Linked DNA regions of Lonchura striata. The protein of the gene in region 2 purifies or fractionates together with the protein of the main gene of each other region. This does not show direct contact. Links are inferred from orthologs where the notes say so. Each region holds a gene or a part of one and is shown on either strand. Other genes may lie near its edges.

Evidence for each region.
Region 1: the proteins of DYRK1A (region 2) and RBL1 purify together in Homo sapiens (affinity purification with mass spectrometry; 3 studies listed by BioGRID and IntAct, with this or other methods). This does not show direct contact. The link is inferred for Lonchura striata from reciprocal best matches to the Homo sapiens genes DYRK1A and RBL1.

What each region holds. Positions count from the first base shown.
Region 1 is NC_134619.1:14,350,062-14,357,603, forward strand, and holds the start of RBL1 (retinoblastoma-like protein 1), read right to left. Parts: upstream 3,018-7,542; 5' UTR 2,997-3,017; coding exon 2,865-2,996; intron 2,742-2,864; coding exon 2,608-2,741; intron 1,667-2,607; coding exon 1,466-1,666; intron 155-1,465; coding exon 90-154; intron 1-89. UniProt on the Homo sapiens protein: Key regulator of entry into cell division. Directly involved in heterochromatin formation by maintaining overall chromatin structure and, in particular, that of constitutive heterochromatin by stabilizing histone methylation.
Region 2 is NC_134604.1:114,752,503-114,759,865, forward strand, and holds the start of DYRK1A (dual specificity tyrosine-phosphorylation-regulated kinase 1A), read right to left. Parts: upstream 3,009-7,363; 5' UTR 2,892-3,008; intron 2,674-2,891; exon of another isoform or gene 2,380-2,673; intron 1-2,379. UniProt on the Homo sapiens protein: Dual-specificity kinase which possesses both serine/threonine and tyrosine kinase activities. Exhibits a substrate preference for proline at position P+1 and arginine at position P-3.

The sequences.
Region 1 (7,542 bases), on a different chromosome or scaffold from region 2:
TTAAGAGACAGTACATCATGTCAAGCAACACAACAGAAGGTCACAGCTGGGAACGTGTACAAACCATGCAGGCAAAGCAAGCAGCTTACCCTTAGTGTACACAAAGAGAGTCCAGCAGAAGTTGAAGAGATCTTTGACGCTGCACGGCACCCGTCTGTCAACAAGAGAAATAGGGGGAGAAGTTACTCTTCAGTTCCAGGAAGCCAAACCTTGTTCTACAGTTCAAATTTCATTCCATTTCCCTGCTTAAAACAACAGCTGGAGCTGCTGTCACAATTCCACACTAAGGCATAGTCTAAGCTACATGTCCCAAGTTCAGTTCTCACTGCCTGACAATGCCTGACCTTGCTCCACAGAGTGTCCTGCACACACCCACAACTTCTTAACCCTGTTCCCAAGCCAAAGGCTGCTTCTGGCTTCTGACCCTGCCACACTATTCTGCTGGTGTTGTACCTCCCACAGAACCCTCCTATGGGTGGGGAGGTGACAAAGGCTATATGTATTTTCCAGTGATGGCTTTTCCATTAGCCATTCCTTTGGAACAGGCAATTGTAGCTTGTACTACAACTCAGCTGCTGACTCCTGTTTGGAGCAGAACTATCCAAGCCCATGGAGCTGGAAGACCAAGGAAGACATGACTCAACCCACAGAGCAGCCAAAGCTGTGGTGGCACCAACCAACACTGCTCTGAGAAAGGAACACCAACAAAGCAGCCATCAGAGCACCTCCCCCTGCACTCTGCCTGTGGATGTGGAGCTACACTGGAGCACTGCACCAGAACAATGATCCCCCCTCACATCCAGAGAACCCACATGAACTGATAAAAACACCTTGCAGATCCACAGCTTGGCTCCCTCATCACGAAGGTTATAATCTCACTACAAAGCTGTCCCAGCCAGATATTCTTGCAGGGAGTATGGACAAGCTCCTTTCCGTAAGGCAGACATTCCATGTGTGCATTGAAGATGACACCACATGTTCCCAAATTTCTCAAAGAAATGAGCACATCAGCTGTAACTTCCCCCCATTTGGTGTTTCCACTCATCTGGCAACCACGGCAAACACCTGGCAGCATGGAGGTCACAGAATGTGACAGCCCTCGAGCAGACGGATCATGGTGTCACACCAACCTCCTGCCAGCACTGTGCCAAGACAGAACACTGCTGTGCTACTTCAGCTATTGCTGCTAAATGTTTGAAGTGTTGATCTCACTGCACCTTGGAGCTAACCTACCTCAGGGTACCTCTCCCCACCACACCCTGACACTCTCACTGTGGGACAGCTCCTGTGTTACAGCAGCTGCATATGCAGCTGACCTGAGCTGCACCCACCGGGCTCAGGGGTGGTTCTGCGCTGGCTGCATTTCAAAGTCAAAGAGACCCCATCACTCTGGAAATTAATTTTCGTAAACTTATATTGGGTATAACTCTTTCCAGGGAAAAATCACATCAAATCTAAAAAATACCTCTGCTTCCTGCTTCGATGTGGTTTGGAACTTTCTTCATAAGGGTTTTGAAATATATCAAAAAATATTGGTTCAAACTTTTTGAAAATCACAGTTGACACTTCAAAATTTCTCTCCAGCCTCTCAACTCGCTCTCGGAATTCCTGGGGCAGGTTTGACATGTCCATCCACTTCTTCATTTTGCTAAAAAACTGAATTAAACTTAAAAGAAAGAAGAAAAGTCTGTTTTCAGCTTTAACTAACTTCCATTCTAAAATTTTAAAAAATCAAAGTGCAACATATTTGCTCCTTTAAAAACTGACATAATTACTATGTAGGTTTACAATTTATTTTGATAAGACTTCCAAACTGCGTGTTATCAGCTTTTTGCCTTTTATCACTCTGGGGTTTCTCCTTGACCTTCTTTAACGCACGGGAACGTTAACTCGATGTGGAGGCTGTCAGCGTGGCTGTGTGGAGCAGGGCAGTGGTGAACAGCAAAATGCAGGCACAGCTCTGTGAGTGTTGAGGCAGAGGTAGGAGAGGGAACAGAACAAGCCAAGAGTCAATGCCCGTCAAAGTTACCTGCACAAAAACCTGACAGCTGGGGATGTAAATAACTGACAACTCCTCCAGCAGCTCAGCAGAGAGTGGGGTCTTTAAATGGAATGAGCAACATTCCGGGCTCCATGTGCCCAGTTCAGAACGCCAGTGACAGGGCAGCTGCTGCTGGGGCCGTGCGGAAGGTGAGTTCTGTGATCACCTGTGCTGTGTTCCCAGAAAAACCAGCGTCTGCCAGCACTCCATCGAGATTTGGCCTGAATCCTGAGTCAGGCACACGTTGTACCGGGATGGCACGCGCCTAAATGTTTGTGGTAAAATTAACTACGGAGAGAAACAACTGGCGTGTGTAGAACGGCTGCTGGTTCGACATAGGTGGTTTCCTAAAGGCTTGAAGTTGGAAATTACGCATTTCAATCTAATTTCCATCTGTAACAAAAGCGGACTTACTGCTTTAACCTCGCCGTGGCTGGCAGCGCTGGGAGCGCAGGCGAGGCTCCCGGACTAGCGGCTCTGGCAGGGCAGGGCAGGGCAGGGCAGGGCACTCCCGGCGCCGAGTGCTCGGCCCCAGCCGGGCCCGGCCCGGCAGGCGGGGCGCTCACCTGAGGCGTGCGGAGCGCAGGATGCGGGTCAGGGAGACGCCGTTCCCCTCCATCGGGCTGCTCCCCACCGTGGGCACGCGGCTCCGCCGGCAGGCGACGTACAGCGCGCAGGCCAACCAGTGCAGCGCTTCGCCCTGCGGGCACGGGCGCCGCGGTCACCGGGGCAGCGCCGCGGTCACCGGGGCAGCGCCGCGCCCCTCAGGCTCGGCCGGAGCGGGACCGCGTCCGCCCGGCCGGCCCCACCCGGCCCCGCTCACCTCCAGGCTGTAGGTGCCCCGCAGCGCCGTGAAGTCGCGCAGCGCCTCGGCCGCGCTCGCCGCGTCCAGGTTGAGCTCCCGGCAGAGCCGCTCCACGGCAGCGCCGGGATCGGCGGCCGCCGGGCGGGACATGGCGGCGGAGCGCGCGCCAAAACCGCCGGAAGGGCGGGGCCGCTTCCGCCGCGGGGGCGGGGCCGCGGGCACCGGCGGGGGCGGCGGTCGCGGCCGGCCGGGGTCACCCGGTGTCTGTCACCCGGTGTCTGTCACCCGGTGTCTGTCGCCCGGTGTCTGTCACCCGGTGTCTGTCGCCCGGTGTCACCCGGTGTCTGTCACCCGGTGTCTGTTACCCGGTGTCACCCGGTGTCTGTTACCCGGTGTCTGTCGCCCGGTGTCTGTCGCCCGGTGTCACCCGGTGTTACCCGGTGTCTGTCGCCCGGTGTCTGTCACCCGGTGTCTGTCACCCGGTGTCTGTCGCCCGGGGTCACCCGGTGTCTGTCACCCGGTGTCTGTCGCCCGGTGTCTGTCGCCCGGTGTCACCCGGTGTCACCCGGTGTCTGTCACCCGGGGTCACCCGGTGTCACCGTCTGCAGGCGGACGCTCGGTGCTGGCGGGTGCTCGCGGCCCGTTCCCGCGCAGGGCTCCGGGAGGCCGCGGCAGGAGCGGCTTTTCCTCGGGCCCCAGCGCCCTGGCACACGCGTGGCTGCGGCATCTTCTCGGCGGCCTCCGCGCCCCGCAGCGCCGGGGAGCCGCTCCACGCGTGTGCCGCGGCCGCGCTCCCCGGCACCCGTGGCGCGGCCCCGGCCCGATCCCGGTCGCAGCGGGCGCTCAGAGCGTTTCCAGGTCCCTGTTCCACTGGAACCGGCGCCGACGGACGGAGCCCCCTTGGGAGCGCTCGTGTCTATCGGAAGCCGTGGCCATGGAGACACCGCCCGCCCTCGTGGGCAGGAAAGCGGCTCCCGCACCTCTGGAAGGGGCTCTGGAAGAGTCACGCAGCGTCCGCAGCGCTGGTTCGATAGGGAACAGGGCTCTGAACCCGCCTGTCACTGGAGGATACCTGAACCACCTCCCTTCTGCTGGGAAGGCGTGGGACGGAGAACACGCGGAGCACGCCCGGAGCGGGTGCGGCGGATCCCCCGCCCCGGTACCTGCGGCGATGCGAGGATGCTCAGAGGATGTTCAGGATCCGGCCCCGCCGCACCCGCTCACTCGGCAGCCCCTGCCCTGCCCCGACCTCCGACCCCACTCAGAGATCCTGGGGTTGGTTCTTGAAAATGCTCTTCTGCAAAGTGCAGGGATCAGTTCGTGGGATCCGCGGGCTGGTGAGGCTGGTTCCTCACAGAGAATCTAATCAGTTTTGTGCTTTCCAAAACATAAAAACCAGCCTTAATCCAACATTCCATAAAACCCAGCCTTAATCCAACATACAAATCTATCTGGAAAATACTGGCCATAAGAGCATGGAAAACTGCTTGTCATAAGCAGACAGGAAATCTGTTTCATTTGTGGTATTGAGACTTTGGGTCCCACAGGTTTGTTTATTCCTTCTGGACCAGAGATGTGTCTTCCTCTAGGTGAGCCAAGCTCTGGTTTTTGTGCATCTTTTCCTCTATCAGAAATCTCTGTCCTTTTCTGAAGGGGAAAAAAGACACTGTGAGGTTTTCTCTTAAAGTTTTGTTTTTCCAAAGAATACAGGCAATTCCTGTACAATGTCTCCCTGTGCTATAGCACAGCCAGCTGAGAAACTTGACAACCAAGGCTTGGCAGGAGCCCAAAGAGAGGAGAGGCTGGAGCATCTGCCATGGCTCTCACTCCTCCCAGTTGCTCCTGCAACAGGTTCAGGACAGTATTTCTTGAAACCTGAAGGCTAATGCTGGGCTTGCCTGAACCGATGTATTCAGGCAGGCTGGGACTGAGTTCCAAGTTAAACCAGTAATGTCACATCTCATCCAGACCACTGGCAAATGGAGCCAGGTAGTCGTGCTGTATGGAGTTGTTCATTAATAAAAATCCCACTGGAGGGAGAACAAGGCCACTTGGGGAATGAGACATCTTCTGCTTGGGCTGAAGATCTTGCATTGTTTTATACCTCTTGAGGTGAAATCTTGATTCTTCAGAAATTAGTGCCACCTATGGCACTGCACCAAAGGCCTCCAGGCACCCCTGGGAGCACCATGAAACAACGAGCATCCCCAAAAGCCATGTGGGAGAGTGAGGATGATGTTCCTAGGCCTGCTGTCCAAACGTACAAGGCACACTGTGCAGATTGACGGGAAGGGGATTGAGAGAGAAGCTGGATTTCTCCTCCCTCTGCTTTCCCAGAGATGCTGCTCTGCAGCACTGGCAGCACTCTTTCCTGGCAGCACTGCCTGCTGTCTGGTGCCCATGGCCGAGCATGGGTGCTATGGGCAGCTGGGCACTGCCACACGGGGCGTGAAGCATCTGGGGGCTTCACCTGTAGCCTAGTCCCTGGAAACTTCTTTGAGGTTGTAAAATGTGAGGAGATTCCTCACATTTGATCTCGTGACTCAGCCTGTGCTCCAGAGCTCTGGGGCTGAAGTAGCTCCTTGAAGAGGTGAGGAACAAAACTGCACTGAAAAGCTCAAATTTAAATGCAAACCAGATGTCATTAGAGAAATTGCCTTCTGCTCACTGCTGACCAAGATTTCCAACCCCAAATCCTTTCTTGTAACTGTCAAGAGCCCAGAGTGGGTACATCTGCACCCAGGGTAGGTAAAGTTCCTCCAACCATGGCTCAGTACTGAGGAAAATTCTTCCCCCCTTTTTTGTGACTATAAAGGGAATTAGAGATCCTGTCTAAATGTGTGATGAGACTTCTGTCAGATAAAAACCAGGCAAGGACAGCAGGGATGTGCAGCTGTGCCTGTTTTACTCTCTCCAGGAAGCGGCACTTGTATCCTGTAAAACACAATAGGGAGCAAGCTGTGCCCACAGTGCCCATCCTCCACCACATCCACTCAGTGCTGCAAGCAGGAAGCACACCTTGTCTGAAGAGACAGAGACCAGCCACCACTGATGTGACAGCTCAAAGCCAGCACATGCTCCTCCAGGGCCCTCCTGCTGTAGCCTCTGCCAGCAAATATCCTGCATTATGGATGCCGAGCACAAGGATGCAGTGTGTGGAGCCAGATTTTAAAGAGAGATTCTGGAACTGGAAATTCATAGCTCATGATACCATTTTGCCAGTCTTTTCTGTGGGGTACTTTTCTATTCTTCCTCCCCAAAGGAGCAACAAAATACCAGGACAAGGTGCTTACACAGAGCAGGTGGAGCAGTAAAAGCACTGCTTTTACTCTGTGTCTTTTTTCCTGGATCTTGGAAGAATAGAGCTGGTCCTACATATCATTCTGACGAAACACTGACGAATGTCTGCTTTGCTAAAGCCTGAGATCCTTACACAGAGATTTAGGACAAGCATTTCACAGAACTTGGAGGTACAGGAAGCACAGGGAGAGGAGCCCAGCACCCCCAGTACCCCACCTGCTGTGAGGGGCTGTGCACATGCCAAGGGGTGTAACTGCTTGGAGGGTGGGGGTGTGTGAGACAACTGTGGAGGCCTCTGGACTTTTGCCCACCCTTGCGGAAAAAGCATGTCAGCAGAGAGCCCTGGTACATCCTCTGTGCTTAAACTGTCCCTGGAGCTTGGGCTGCTCCTGGCATCTTGCAACCCACGTGGAACATGAGTTCCCTCAGGCTGGCGAGTTCACCCAGGGCGCAGTGGGAGCTGCAGCTTCGCCCCCTCGCAGCCAGCAGCAGAGTAACACACAGGGCACCAGGAGCAGCCTAGAGCAGTGACCAGGCAGCTGCTTTCAACAGCTTCTCAATGGGATCATGCTGAGAAAAAGGCAAGTCACGTTTATCACTGAGTCAGGTGAATTAAACATTCACATATATTTGCTGAAAAAAATTATATACATCTGTAGCAAGGCTCTCCCAAGTCTGAAAGATAAGCATCCTCTAGTCACTGAATTAAAAAAATAAAAATCTGACTTTTAAATATTTTTCTTTTTATCCATGTTCAAGAGCACAGACAGTTTATTTTGTTAGCACATTTTGTGAAGGATGTATGTGTGTGAATAGCCATGAAAACCAGTCAAAATTTGGCATTTGTTTGGGATATGATGGAAAAGAAGAAGCAGCCACTTAACGCCTTACAGTCTAAATAATCCACAGAGTATATCGGGTTGCAAAAGGGTCACAAAGTAGCAAAGAGAAGCCTAAACACCCAGAGACGTAGCATACATGTCTGCTAAGGAAGAACAAGGTATAGAGCATGCTGACTAATTAAATAAATTCCACTTTAGACCCTGTTCCTTATCCATGTAACCCTGGAAAAATCATCCCATAACAAGAAGTGGACTCGGAAGAGATTTCTGTATCCATTCACAGTAAGGCTTTGAAGATATATGAAGTTTTATAGCATTTGTATTTTAAGGATTTAGGGCAAGTACATGTTCTTCCACTGAATAAAAACAAAGTTAGTACTTAAAAGGTTCAAAAATATATCAATTGTGACTTTTCTTTACATAAATAAATTATATTGATTTTGGATTTAACAGCTGAAAAAACCCTTTCTGCTTCCACTGGAGGCAAAAACTGAACAAAATGTTAGTTAAATAGAGATAGCAGCATTTCTAAGAAATCTGTCGACAGTGATACA
Region 2 (7,363 bases):
AAAGTGCTTTTTTTGGTACCAGTAGGTTTTAGTCTTCAGAGCAGCACCCATTCGAGCTCAGAAGAAGCTGTGAAATGCCTGCATGGCAAATAAAAGCTCCGGTTTTGTGTGTTTATTCTTTTCACATACCATCTGAGCAGGTGGTCCAGTGACTTTAAGATGTGGCACATGTAAGCAAGTCTGTCCTAATTAAATGTCACTTGAAAAGCTCGGACAAGGCAGAGTTTTTCCCGGACACCAGAGGTGCTCTGCAGCTTTGTTTGAACTATCAGCCACTTTGCAAAAGTCTCCTACGGCCCTCAGGTGTTCATTCCCACCCTGCACAACCCCCCAGACTCCCAAACTGGATAAATTCCCCGTGAGTCCCTGCTTGTTTCACACCAGGAAGGGAATCCTGCACTGAAAGGGAGAACTCTTGGCTGCTATGAGGTAAAATTATCCTTGTCACTGTCCAGCTGGGGGAGGGGATGCCAATGACAAGTCCCAAATCCATCCAAGTATTGATGCAGGAACTGTAACGCTCGCTCCTGTAACCAACCCTACCTGTAAGCTTGGAAACAATATCAAACTCTTGACCTATTGCCCTCCTGGCTTAGGAAAACCCTGCTGGCTCTTTCAGTTTTGAACAAGATATACTTGCTTCACCCAAGGAATATTCCAAAGCCATGAATTAAACTCAAAAAGCTTCATGAACTTGGATGGAATTTTTAATTCACAGCAAAAAATGTAAATTTAACACTTCACACACATATTCTACTTCAGACTGCAAATAAAAAGTCTAGTTCTAAATAATTCATGTAAGCCAAAAACAAGAAGCATAGCCTACAAAAGTATCTATATATACACACACCAAATATATATAGATAATAGTTAACAAATACTAGCTCAGAGTTATTTTCAGTGTTATTATACTAATTCTATAAAGTATAATTAATTTTCCAAAAATATCCAACCTACAGAGGTTGGGGGAAGGGCGGCGTGGAGAAAGAGAGAAACAAGTTTACCAAAACTTTTTAGGGCTACAGACTATTCCAAGGAGGGAAGTTAAATTCTGCTTGGTTACAAGCAAAGAATTGAGTACTACCAGAAATTAAATGTTTGCTGATTTATCACCAGATATCATCTATGTGTTCTTTGACTTCACACACCTTTCTTGAAGAAAAGGTAAGGAAACACCAAGAAGATAATAAAAAAAGTTGTTAACTTGTTCAAATCCGGGCCCCCATGAAACTCCATCCACCTCAGTGTGACTTCAAGGACCTCCTGGCAGAAATTAACACCACACACTCATTCGGATTCAACCAGGATGGCTGTCAAAAACACGCTTGTCGATTTATTTTGTAGCGAGTTACTCTGCCTTTGTTGATTCTAAATAACAATAAATGTTAATTTCCCTCGATGGCTGTGGAGTAATAGGAGAACTAAGTAACAGCAGCAATCTAGAAACATGATCAAAGAAGCCCTACCTGGTCTTTGGAGGGGCTAAACCCCAAGCTTCAAAGCCGACTGAGATCCAAAACCACACCAATTTCTAAATTTCCAATTCCAGGACTTTAAAACGCGTTTTGTGATCCCACGGCGGCGGGAGGGAACTCTGGCCACTCCAGAGGAGCACCCAGTGCATCCGAGAGGAGCCCCAATTCCTCCCCACAACACAAAGCTGAATCCCTAAAAGGCCGCGGCCAGCTACTAAAAGACGGATTCAGGGAATCATTAATGATGGAAAAGAGCTCCGAGATCATCGAGTCCAACCTACGGCCACCTTGTCAAGCAGCCCATGGCACCGAGAGCCACGTCCAGCCTTTCCTTAAAGACCTCCGGGGACGGTGCCTCCGCCACCTCCCCGAGGAGCGCCCGTGTGTCCCTGCCTGTCCCTGTGCCTGTGTGTCCCTGCGTGTCCCTGTGTCTATTCCCAACGCTGCTCCCTCCTCCTCCCCACCCCCACCGAAGGGATGACAGGCACCTCGCTCAGGTAACTCCTTCCCCATCTCCCTGCACCTTCCCCACCCGCCCCACCGGCCCCTCACAGGTGCCGGGGGCATCCCAATCCTCCCCTACAACAGGTGATGCTCCGAGTCCTGCCGCCCTCCTCGCCGCCAGCCCGGCCCGAGCCCTCGCACCCGCCCACCGCAGGGCGTTGCGCATAACACCGAGAGGCTCCGGGCGAGCTCCCTTCCTCCATCGCCGCTCCCAAGGCCCGGCAAGCCACAGCCGCGCTCCAAGGGGAAAAAGGCCGCGGGCTGCGGCGGGGCGGGCGGGGATGGATCCCGGCCCTGCCGCCGCTCCCGCTCTAAGATGGCAGCGAAGCGCTGCGGCCCCTCCGCCGCGGGCCCGGGCGAGGCGGCCCCGGCTCGTCCCGCGGCGCGGCGTCTCACTCACCCGTGCGGCGGCTTCTCCCGGGGCGAGGCCTCTCCCTCCGCGGGGCGAGTGCCGGGCTCGTCCTCCCGCTCTTCCCCGGGGGCCTCGGCGGCGGCGGCGGCGCCTCCTCCTCCCTCGGGCCGCGGCTCTGCCCGCGGTGGGGAAGGGGAGCCCGGGCGGCCCGGCGGGTCCCCGGCCGGGCTCTGGCTGTTCGCTGCCCTCACAAAATGGCGCGCGGTCCAAACCTGCGCAGCGCCCGGCGGCGGCTCGGCCTCGCCTCGGCTCGGCTGCGATCGGCGGCCTGAGCCCCGGCCGGGAGCGCGGGGACAGCGGCGGGGGGAGCGGGAGGAGCGGGAGGAGGAGGAGGAGGAGAAGGAGGAGGAGGAGGGGATGGGGGGAAGCGCAGCGCCGTACCGAGCCCCCGGGAACTCCTCGCTCCCTCCCTCCCTCCCCCGCCTGCCAGCCGCTACCTCCTCCCCCTCCCTCCCTCCCCGCCCGCTCCTCCTTCCCTCCCTCCCTTCTTCCTCACGAACCGGCTTCGCTTCCCGCACCGCCGCCGCCGCCTCAAGCCCGGCCGCGCATCCCCGGCGGGACCCTCGGAGCGCACTTTTTTTGCGTCCCTTCTTTTCCTTTTCCTTTCGCGGTGGAGGTCGGAGGAAGGAGAAGAAAAAAATAAACTTTAAAAAAAAATAATAACCCCCCCGAGATTCTGGCGGAAATGGAGCTATTTGCTCTTGGGGTTTTTAAATTATTATTTTATTTTAATTTTTTAAAATAATTTTAAATTTAAAAAAAAAAAACCCAACTGACAAAATGGCGGCGGGGGCGAGCCTGTTGCCGTGGCAACTGTCAATCACCCGCGGCCGGGCGGGAGACGGCGCTGACGTGGGGAAGCAAGGGCGGGCCGCTCTCGCCATGGCAACGGCTCCTTCCCCCCCTCTTTCCTGATCCATGCCCGCCCGCCCTCCGGCGTGTGACGGTGTCGGCGGCGCTGCGGGCCGGGATGGCCCCGGCGGGGCGGGGAAGGAGAGCGGCCGCCATTGCCGGTGAAGGGGGAGCCGGCGGTTGAGGCGGCGCCGGCCCCGGCCCGCAGGGGGCGCCGGGAGCGCGAGGCCGAGCCCGCCGGGGCTTCCCGCCCGCCGCCTGTGGGGAGCGGCGGGGCCGGGCGCGGGACGCCAGGCGTTCCCAAAAAACCGTCCAAAAAACGCTCTGGAAGGAGCTTAAAGTGCCTGAACCCGCTGAGGGAAGGCTCCCCTCGGCATTGCGTCCGCGCGTTTTTCTCGACACGCTTAAAAATATCACCCCCCCCAAAAAAAAAAAATACGAGTTGGGAAATGCGCTAAAAGTCGTCCCTGTGGGAGACCCGGCGTTGCTGGGGAGTCACAGGGTTCTGGAAGGTTTCTTGCCCCTCAGAATTGCATCCGGGGGTCTTCCTTGTCCCCTGGAAAAAATCTGTATTTCCCCAAGACAAGTTTTAAAACGCACTAAAAGTCACCCGGTGTGGGAGGCTTGAGCTGCTGAGGGAAGAAGGCTCCTTTCCCCTTGAAATTCTGTCCAGGGTTTTTCTAATTCTCATCAGAAAAAAAAAAAATATATATATGTATATTCCCCCAGAAGTGAGTTAGATGTGGGAGCCTCAAGCTGCTGAGGCAAAGCTCCTTTCCCCTCAGAATTGCATCCAGGGGTCTTTCTCACCCCCCTCTGAAAATCAATATATTCCCCCAAAATGAGTTTTAAAATGCACTAAAAGTAGCTTGGTGTGGGAGCCTTAAGGTGCTGAGGGAATCACAGAATAAAAGGCTCTTTTCCCCTTGGAATTGCATCATGGGGTCTTCCACATCCCCCCTCAAAAAATCAATATATTTCTCAAAAAATGAGTTAAAATATGCACTATAAGTAGCCCAGTGTGGGAGCCTCGAGCTGCTGACAGAATGCTCCTTTCCCCTCGGAACTGCTGGATTGGTGTTTCCAGCCTAAATCTGTGACGAGGTTTTTAAGGGGGTTTTTTTGGTTTGGTTTGGGTTTTTTCTTTTTTTTTTTCTCTTTTTTTTTTTTTTTTTTTTTTTAGTTTCTGGAATGCCCACAAGGATCAAAAAGTAGAGTCTGGCCTTTATCTAATACTTTAATTCTGACGTGTGATACTTTAATCTAGTAATTTCATTTCCTAGCCAGCCTCCTTGGAGAAATTAGGACATGTTACATGTTCCATTTGCTTTTTCTTCCTGTTTTAATTTTTTTTTATTTTTTTATCTTGGCTTAAAAGGTTGAAATAAGCAGCCAAGGATTGGCAGAACGGATGCAGCCAAAGCCAAAGCCCCCCAAATAATTGAAGTGTTGAGAATTTTACTTACATTGTGTGATCACACAATCCCAGACTGGGTTGGGGTGGAAAGGACTGTAAAGATCATCTCATCCCACCCCTGCCATGGGGACACCTCCCATTTTCCCAGGCTGCTCCAAGCCCCAAATCCAACCTGGCCTTGGGCACTGCCAGGGATCCAGGGGCAGCCCCAGCTGCTCTGGGAATTCCATCCCAGGGAAGGATTTCTCCCTGATATCCCATCTAAACCTCTCTTTCTCAGCTTAAATCCATCCCTGTTTATCTTCTCACCCCTTGTGAAAAGTCCCTCTCCAGGGACAGGGGTGCACAGGGCAGAGGAGGGAAATCGCGGGGCCACCCCAGGAGTGACAGAGAGGTGTTAGGTGAGTTGAAATTATCTATGGAACTGCACCTTCCAGCCCTGGGAGGTACTTGGGGGCACCGTGATTTCAGTGATCCTTTCTCATTCCCCTCAGCCCCAGAAGGATTTGTGGTCACTTGGAGCTGCTTTTGACACTTCTCTCGTCGACTCTGAGCATGGCCAGAATGTGGCTCTTGTCCTGGGATGTGGAAAGCAACACCTGAGGGAGCTGGGAAAGGGCTGGAGAGTTCCTGAGGGAGCTGGGAAGGGAATGGAGAGTTCCTGAGGGAGCTGGGAAGGGGCTGGAGAGTTCCTGAGGGAGCTGGGAAGGGAATGGAGAGTTCCTGAGGGAGCTGGGAAGGGGCTGGAGAGTTCCTGAGGGAGCTGGGAAGGAGCTGAGCCTGGAGCAAAGGAGGCTCAAGGGGACCTTGTGGCTCTGCACAGCTCCTGCCAGGAAGGGACAGCCGGGGGGTCGGGCTCTGCTCCAGGAACAGGGACAGGAGGAGAGGGAACGGCCTCAAATGGCACCAGGGGAGGCTCAGGTTGGAGACTGAAAACAAATTTTCCCCCAATTCTTCCTGGCAGAGTGGTCAAGCCTTGGGATGAGCTGCCCAGGGAGGTTTGGAGTCACTGGAATTGTCCCAGAGGAGTCTGGATGTGGCCTTGGGGACAGGGTTTGGGTGATGCTGGTGGCACTGGATGATCCTGGAGGGCTCTTCCAAGGTGGACAATTCCAAGATCTCAAAGGCCAACCTCTGCCCAGTCCCTCAGTCAGGAAGGACAGCTTCGCTCCCAAAGAGGAGCAAGGGGGCATTCCCTGAGGATTTTTTCCCTCTAAAATCTCTTTCTGGTCTGTGTGAGTGCAGTGACAGAAGAGTTTCTCTGTTTCTCAATGTAGGTAACTTCAAAACTCACAGAAATTTGTTACACTGTTCACTGCATTACTGTAACTTCCTGGGGTTTGGGGTTTTTGTCAGGTTTTGAGGAGTTTTTTTGCTAACACTTAAAAATATTACAGAGTTTTCAATAGGTTTTGCATTTGCTCAGTCATCCTCTACTTTTATTTTGCTGGCTCTGGCACCTTGGGCAGAGAAAAAAATGTCCTTTAAAAGTTGATGGCATCTTTTTAAAATGTTATTTTTCAGCACAAACATCTAGATATTTTTGGCTTGTTAATTTTATCTGGATAATGAATAACCTGCATGGTTCTTCCCTTGTACAAAAGTGTTCTCTTCAATATCCATTTCATTAAAAGGCAAGGGGAGGTTCAGGTTGGACATCAGGAGGAATTTCTTCCTGGAAAGGGTTGTCAGGAACTGAACTTGTGTTCTCTGCTGGAGGTTTGGGGCTCGGGTTAGGGATCCTCCAGGCTGGGATTCCACCAGCATCCTGCCTCACCTGGAAACTTTGCACACGAGTTGGGGCCTGGATGAAGGGAATCCAAGTTCTTGCTTATCAAAAATTATCAAAACTTACTCCTTTTTATTTTGTTTAGGAAGGGAGGGACTGCCAAGACAGGAAAGACTTGAGAGTCCTTTTTTTTTTTTTTTTTTTTTTTTTAAACTCTCCATCACAATCCACCTGGAGTAGGTTTGCAGTACTTGAAAACAGGAGTTTGTGAACATTGTGTATATGAATTAGTGGACAGGCTTGTAAGAAATACTTGGATGTCTTTTCCTAAGAGACCACCCCTCAGAAAGCAGAATATCTGGGGTCAAAAAACCCAATAATAAGCAGAAAAATTGAGAAAAAATAAGATAAAAGCACATTGAAAATGAGGAGGAAAGAGTGGAGAAATTAGCTCTAAGTGAGAAAATAACATACAGCAGTCTAGAGAAATGGAATAGATGTAAAAGAAACAACAAAACAGCTGAAGAGTTGGGATTGTTCAGCCTGGAGAAGAGGGTTGTGTGGAGACCTCACAGCACCTTCCAGTGTCTGAGGGGCTACAGAGAAGTTGTAGAGGGACAATTCATCAGGAACTGGAGTGACTTCAGACTGAAAGAGGGGAATTGCAGGTTAGGTATATGAAGAAGTTGTTCCCTGGGAGGGTGGGCAAGCCCTGGGCTGCCCCTGGATCCCTGGCAGTGCCCAAGGCCAGGTTGGACACTGGAGATTGGAGCATCCTGGCACAGTGGGAGGTGTCCCTGCCATGGCAGGGATGGCACTGGATGGTTTTTAATGTCCCTTCTGATCCAAACTATGATTCTATGGCAGTGGAGTGTGATTATGGGTAATATGTCCCATTTTTTCCCTTTCCAGCCTTCCTTCATGGAGAAGAGGGGCCCATTTTCCTCATCATTGTGTGCTCTGGAAGGCTTCAT